2 linked regions of the Caenorhabditis elegans genome follow. The protein of the gene in region 2 purifies or fractionates together with the protein of the main gene of each other region. This does not show direct contact. Each region holds a gene or a part of one and is shown on either strand. Other genes may lie near its edges.

Region 1 (3,759 bases), 4.5 Mb from region 2:
CGTCTTCGGTTTCCACTTTTGGAGCATCGCTGATGATTTCCGATTTGAGTTCGACTACCTAAAGTGGTATCAAAATTGAATTAATAAACTGATTAACAATGTTATTACCACTTGTGGCGTTGAGTCAACAGTCGCAATTTGTTTCTTTTTCAGTTTTGGAGGCGCTGGCCTTGAAGCCGCGGTTCCGGGTCTTCCCATTGATGTCATAGGTCTACCACCTCCAGCACCAGTCATTGGTCTGGAATTTTCTATGTCAAAAGCTGATTAAACTGTGTGTATCATCATCTCAATCTCAGTGTAAATTTCACTTTGACAACTTATTCTAGAATTTGAAAAAATGTTGGTCAAAGAAGGAGTAAACCAACAATGTTGAAGCCAAAAATTTGCCGGATAATTCAATTTCAGAAAATTATTTAAGTGTGCACTACATTTTTTAAAATGAACTGAAGATAAACCCAATCCGTAAGAGGTTACCTTATCAACGGGGGTCTATCTTCGGGCTTGATCATTCTCGGGCTCTCACCCATCCCACTATCATCAGTTTTCAAGGGTGACGTCACTGGCTGTTGGATCAGTAGTGATTGAGCTGACAAATCAGTTTCCATATTTGATATAACAGTTGGTTCAGAAATCTCATGATCGTCATAACCCTCATCTCCATTCTCATTGTTCGGAGTATCCGGTGCATCTCCATTCACAGCAATCATTGAGTCTTGTCGTTTAAAATGCCGTTCACTCGGGTCTTTTTTGCTCTTTTTGGGTTTTTCGTCTGTTGTGCTCTTTTCCTTCTTTTTCTCCTTGCTGGACTTTTCGCTTGACTTTTCGCTAGACCTGTCACTAGACTTATGCCGTTCTTTTGAACTCGAAGACTTTTTCTTCTTCTCTTTCTCTTCTGCAGATTTTTTCTTCTCCGATTTTTCCTTCTCTTCATGCGTTTCCTTAAAATGATAAAACTGAGTTTATGGGGAAACAAATATTTAAAAGTGCACTCTACCTTCTTACTGCTACGTTTTTTAGTAGTTGACTTCTCTTCTTCATCTCCCTTTTTGTCCTCTTTCTTTACTTTTTTCTTCTTTTTCTCCTCTCCGGTACCATTCCTTGAATTGAAACTCGTAGCATTTGTTCCCAACATTTGCAGCATCTGAATAAATGTAAAAGGTAAAAAAAGCACTAAGAACTGAGACGAGCGAAAGCAATGGCTAACTTGGTGTAGCACTGACCAATCTGGTAATGCACTGACCAAGTTGAAAACGGCTTAAATACTTTATCTTACTATTAAGCATATTTTTATCACAAAAAATCAGAAAATTTAAATAGAAAAAATGATTAGGGCACTAATTTAGTTTGATATAATTTACGGAAGAAATCGAATTTTTTTTTTAAGTTAAAAAAAAATTTCTGATTGACCAGATTTTTTAAAATTTGATTGAAGCGACTTCACATCGAATTGTAAATTCTGTTTAAAATTCTGCGCCTTCTTTTTTCATTACAGATATTTCTTGTTAATAGAATGTAAACTCACTTTGTTGGTTTCTTCCGCGTCCTTCCCCGATATTATTTTGGCGGCTTTGACGTTTTTGAGACTTCCGTCATCTAGAATCTTGATCAGCTTGTCAAGAAAGGCAGTTTTGGTGTTTTTGTCGTTGCCAGCGGACTTTATTTCATCGTCGGTGAAGTCAGTCTGTTAAAATGAAAATTTAGCGAAAATTTATGCGCTGACCAAGTTGGCACAGCACTGAGTAACTTGGCACAGCACTGACCAAAAACTTCGCATCACTGACAAACGAAAACTTTAAAACTAAAGTTGGGCACTGGTTTTTTCTCTTTTTTTCTCATACCACATTACATTTCTTAAAATCTACATTTTCGCGCATAATTTTTTATTATGAATAAAATTTTCAAATACCCACCTTCAAATACCCCGTAGACTTTATCACATTGCTAACTATATCAACAATAAATTTGAATGGTGGTCGTGAAAGCAGTTGATCAGTTAGTTGTGGTTTTTGAATTACTTTCTCAAGAATTTCCCGAGTTTCCTCAACGCTCATCGCACTTTTACTGCAAAAATCTCATTACAAGTTGCGAAAAACATGAAATACATGAAAAACAATATTAAGGTGAAAAATGCTGACAAAAAAGAGGAATGAAACAGCGGTAATACACGCAAGAGAGAGAGAGCACGCTAATATCAGGTGGCGCTGTGTGGCGAGTTGTTGAGGCAGGGGGCACGTTGTCATGGAGACCACCTTACGCGCAAAGAGTGCGTGAGACGATGAGAGCAGCAGAATAATGTGTCTTAGTTGAGGTATTTTGTGACTGATTACAATTCTTTAATTTTCGCACAATATATTGTATTTTTTTCTGATTATATAATACGTCAGAAAAATGGGTGAAAACAAAGAAGAAAGTAGACTGGAATGTTATAAATGGTGGTCAAATTGCGACCAGTACAAGAAATCGTGGAAAATTTTGTTTTTAGCAGATTTACATATATTATGAAAATCACATCGAAACTTTTAGGAAAACAATCTTCATCTAACAATATAATTTTTTCATTGACTCGTTCTTAGCTCTATAAAAACAAAGTAGAAGCTTCTCATGTAGATCAAAAATTATGATTTAATGTTCAGAGGTTTCCCGCGATTGTGGAAATCAAATAGAAATAATCCTTTATTTAAATATACACTGTTTTTATTTGATAAAAACATAAACAAATTGTTTATAAGCCGAATGCTAACATTTATTGTAGAGATATGTTTAAATTTATAATTTCCTGTTTAATATTGAGGTACTTATAACTTTCGTTTAAAAAAAAACATAAGTTCCAAAATCTAGAATAGTAGGCAAAAACGTGAAATAGGCTATATGAACGAAACGTAAAAAATGTCATTTGTTTAAGGCAGCTGAAATTGAATATGACGTCATTTGTAGTAGGCGTTAGAAAAATATATAGTTACAAGTATACTAGACTACTTATTTAAAAAAAAACAAACTAATTTGGTCAATAATTCTAATTTTTATTTATCTTTTTATATGGACAAACATAATAATACAATCCATTTTTTTTTCTACTTTCTTGTGGTTATGGGTATTTAGATTGTCCCATCTTAGGTTGACCTCTGGAAATTAGGGCGCCACATGGCTTTAATGCTTTGACGCCACGATGATTTTTTAAATGAAAATTGCACTATGTAAAAATTTGTGACGTCATATTTTATGAATTTTTGAATCCACGTATTGCCACGATTTCAGAGACCAACAAAAAAAGGGAACACGCTAATTACTCGTGTGTGCTACGTTGTGGTCTACTTTTCAGGATTATTGGATTTTATTGAATAGTACATTTCAGCACGTTTCAAAAATTGAAGAAAAAAACCGAGAAAAGTCCGTTTTCAGTAATGAAAATTCAATTAAAAAATGAAATTTGAATCGCCATGAATTTTTAGAAAAATTTCCAGAAGGTCCATTATTTTTTAGAAAGAGGTTCATTTTTGAAAAATATTTGAAAACTTTCTGTATATAGAAAACTATCAACAAAATATAAAGAAATCAATCACAATAAGCATATATATGTACAAAAAACAATAAGATTGAATTTCCGCAAAACATCATTCGCGCGCGAAACTAACTCAAATTCGGGTATGTACATTCAGCCATAATTGTCAATGTGAACGGGGGTTTCCCGTTTTTCTTATATTATATTTCCCAGCTTCAGCACCTGAAATAAATTGTTTGATATTTTCTTCGTTGAAGAGA
Region 2 (3,759 bases):
TAGCATCGCCCCATCGTCAGCGCATCTTCCGATTTTTCCGACATCTCCAGATTTAGCCTGCAAATTTTAAAATCTTTATTAGGAAGATTGAAGTAATGAACTCACATAAAGTACTTGGCAGCATTCTCAAAATCCGAAGTGGCTTCTGCATTTTTGGCGTCATTTTTCTCTTCAGCAGCTTCCAGTTTTGTGCATCGCCCTCGCTCCACATAAATCGTCGCAATGTTGTAATAAGCTCGAGATTTGAGAACCTGAATTTTTTAAATGGAAAGTGTAAATTATCTGAATGCAATTAGGAGTTTCATTCTTGAATAATTGCGTTGTGCCTTATTTTGAAAAGCTGAAATATTTCATAGCAATATTCACAGCTGCTTCTAACAAGTTTCTAGGCAAGCATTCTGGAATCTTTTGGAATATACATTTTTATTTGAAAACATCTGAAACTTTTTCACCCAACTCGATCGAGAAATGTTTCAAGCTTCCAGAATGTTTGCATACCTGTAAACTTTCCGAAAACCACTAGAAGTTCGCAAAAATCAACATTGGATGCAATTTCACAGCTCTATTAAATATTGATCCTTTTCAGATGGTTTTTATGGTAGTTCAACGTGCTCTTCTGCCGCTAAATTTTTTGTGGTAACCTAGTTTGCAGGTCCCCTTTCAAATGACATAGATTTCATTCAGAAGTCTCATTGTAGGCTGAAATACTTTCCTTGTAACTATGGTTTATGTTGGAAACTTCGAAGAAAATTTAAGATGGAACTTTGTACATGTTTGCTAGCACGAAAATAATAAATCTCCTGTTGGTATAGCAACGGGTGCATTTTTTTTTCAAGTACAAAATCAAGTTCTACTCACTCTATCGCCCAACTCTTCGGCAAAATCCAGCTGTTTGAATGTGAAGGTGAGCGCGTCGTTGTAAGCGCCTTTCATCTTGAATATATTTCCCAAGTTGGCACACGACTTTGCTTCTCCCTCCTTGTTTCCAAGCAATCTGAAATTTTGTTTATTTTTTGTTTAAATTTCTTTCGCATTCGTTACCTTTCAACAAGAATGTCATACGTATGGAACTTGAGAGCTTGCTCATAATCTTTAAGCATTGTGTGTGCATTTCCGAGCTGACAATAGATAGCCGAGAGTAATGAAAAATCATCTGTGCCTACTTCCAACGCTTTTTTCAACAAGTCGATGCCTGAAATATTCAAATTCAATCAATTATTTACAAATAATAATAAAAAAGAAGTTACCTTTCTCATACTTTTGCATGCGAAAAAGACGTTCCCCTTCCTGTGTGAGCTTGTAGCAGGAACGGTCCTGCATCGCACCTTTCCCCGCTGCAAAAAAAAAATCGATTGATATTCTTCGATGACAAAGATTTCAGAAATCTGCACAATACTAGAAAAAAGGAGAGAAACACAAGCGATTAAGATTGAGAAAGAAGAATCGAAATGTGGTCTTTCAGAACAGAAAGGGTGGTCAATGTAGAAAAAAAGGTATTTGAATGATTTATTCGAACGAGTACGGACCAACAAACTCCTCTGTTTGTTCGTTGCACGGCCGCTCTCAGTACATGGAAAGAAACGTCCTTGCTATGTCTGCGGCAGCTCTCTCGTTCACTCCTCACGACAGATGAGCTAGTAACCGCGCGTTGACGTCATTTGTGTAAAGACGGCTAGGAAGTATTGTTTCGAGCAAAATATTTGTTAATTTAAAATGACAAAGGAATATAAACTGATAGTCTTAAAAGATACATTACTCAAAAAAAAACTCTCATATGAAAAATATAAATTATTACCTTAGAGTATCAAAAGTTCACATTTAATTACCACTCACTCAAAACAAATCTCTAACCACAGTTAATTACCAACAAACTGATTCAACTTGTTCAACTTCTGTTCCCTTTTCAATACTACTTGAAACATTTCACACTCACATAGCAAAGAGCCCAGCAACAACATATATTTACGTCGTGTTGCCCTGGTAACCGGGAGCGCTGCTCGACGAGCTCGCGTTTATTGTCATCACTAACGGTGTATCCTTAAGATGTCGAACGATATTCAAGGGTTTATTCTCCACTTTTTGAATGAAGAGCCGTTCAATCTCAACTTATCATCACTTCAATTCGACCAATTACCACCGCAGCAGTTGCTCCAAATTTTGAGTAATGTTTTGAGGTTGGTTAAGTCAAAAAAAGAAATTTAAAAAATGCGATATCGAGAAAAAACAGTTATGGTGTTTAAAATATTCACAAAAATTTTCCAGAAACGTGTGCTACATTTTTTGTGACAATTAAAAAACAGCTACTTTATTATTATTGTATCGTTATTTTTTCAAGAATTTTTCAAAGAAATATAAATAAATTTTTTTAATTTCTAAAAATAGCTTTACCTTTAATTGTACTTTTGGATGTTGCTCAAAAAAAGGCACAAAGTTACAATGTGCGTGTTAAATTTGCTGGTTGGCAAACTGATACTAATGTCAGTTTTTGAGCAATCTTCTTAAACTTTCTATTGAAAGTAATTATTTTATAGATTGCTGTGTAAATTTAAAAAAAATTTGACACAACAATAAAGAAAAGGGGTATCAGCAGGTCCACTTGGGTAGAATGTTCAAAAAATTCGGTTCTTTCTTATTTGTTTGCAAAATTTCAAAAGTCATAAAAAAATTAAGAAAAATTTGAATAAATTTTTTACAAACACATAAATGCTCTCACTGATAAAATTGAATTTAATAATATAAGAACAACGAAAATTTTTAAAATGTTCAGCTGGGTTTCCGACACGGACCGAATTGATATCAAAAGAGAGGCTGCTGAAGAGACTGCAATTCGTATTCTGAATATGCTCCGAATTCTCCGCTACAGACCACCGCAAGACCAGGATGAACAGTTCGTGCAAAACGAGGGCAATCACTAAACAGCATCTAATTTGACATTATATTACAGGGAAGAATGGCGTGCAGGGATTGTCGAAGGTCGCAAGACTAGCCTCTATCCTCTTCTGGTTTTTCTTTTTGAAAACTCAGAAGGTTTGAAAGAGCGCGCATATTTGTCAAAATATTTGATGAAGGTAATGAATTGCTATGCCAAAAGCCGACATGTTATGCTAGTGGTTTCTGGGGGGAGAGAAATAGATGTTGTCATTATTTTTTTTAAAAGAAAAATGATACATAGAGAACAAGCATCGTTCTGCTTGAATAGCTGATATAGTAGGCAAGACAGCCGAAGTTTTTGGTTTAGTTAGTCTCTGATCTAGGTACACATTGAATTAATGAATCAAGAAATGGCTAAACAGCTTCGCACTTTTTTGTAATTGGAAATACGTAAATTAATTATTTTCAGACAGATGTACCTGGAGAATTCTTCGATTATGATATTGAAGAGCTGCAAAATGAGATTGGAGAGTTGACAATGGAGTTTAAGGTTAATCACATGAGAGATTAGTCGTCACGATAGTGGATGAGCAAAAAAAAAGCAAAAACAAAAAAAAACAAAACAACTTTTCTACAGGAAATCCATGCTGAAATGAAAGGAATAATGGCAGACGTACTCTTGCTTGATGACATAAAAGAGGATTTAAAGTCAATGGAAAAAGAAAAACAAATTTTGCTCCGAAAGATTGAGAAGACCGAGAAGAAAGTGCAGAATATACCATATTTTGATAAGTAAGTTCAAATAATGTGAAAACTTCAAAAAAAAATTGTTCAAAAATAACAGGAAAATGTAGTCAAAATTTAATTAATTACTTGTTTTATGCGAAA

Evidence for each region. The genes of interacting proteins can lie anywhere in the genome.
Region 1: the proteins of ift-81 (region 2) and dyf-11 fractionate together in Caenorhabditis elegans (co-fractionation; one large-scale study listed by BioGRID). This does not show direct contact.

The regions. Positions count from the first base shown.
Region 1 is NC_003284.9:762,061-765,819, reverse strand, and holds the start of dyf-11 (TRAF3-interacting protein 1), read right to left. Parts: upstream 2,069-3,759; 5' UTR 2,052-2,068; coding exon 1,911-2,051; intron 1,682-1,910; coding exon 1,523-1,681; intron 1,142-1,522; coding exon 995-1,141; intron 939-994; coding exon 475-938; intron 239-474; coding exon 109-238; intron 59-108; coding exon 1-58.
Region 2 is NC_003284.9:5,296,707-5,300,465, forward strand, and holds the start of ift-81 (Intraflagellar transport protein 81 homolog), read left to right. Parts: upstream 1-1,854; 5' UTR 1,855-1,925; intron 1,926-1,958; 5' UTR 1,959-1,989; intron 1,990-2,020; 5' UTR 2,021-2,043; coding exon 2,044-2,174; intron 2,175-2,767; coding exon 2,768-2,887; intron 2,888-2,944; coding exon 2,945-3,068; intron 3,069-3,340; coding exon 3,341-3,421; intron 3,422-3,508; coding exon 3,509-3,663; intron 3,664-3,759. Other genes in the region: ags-3 (Tetratricopeptide repeat protein 28), read right to left, coding at 1-57, 106-251, 859-994, 1,042-1,192, 1,248-1,320.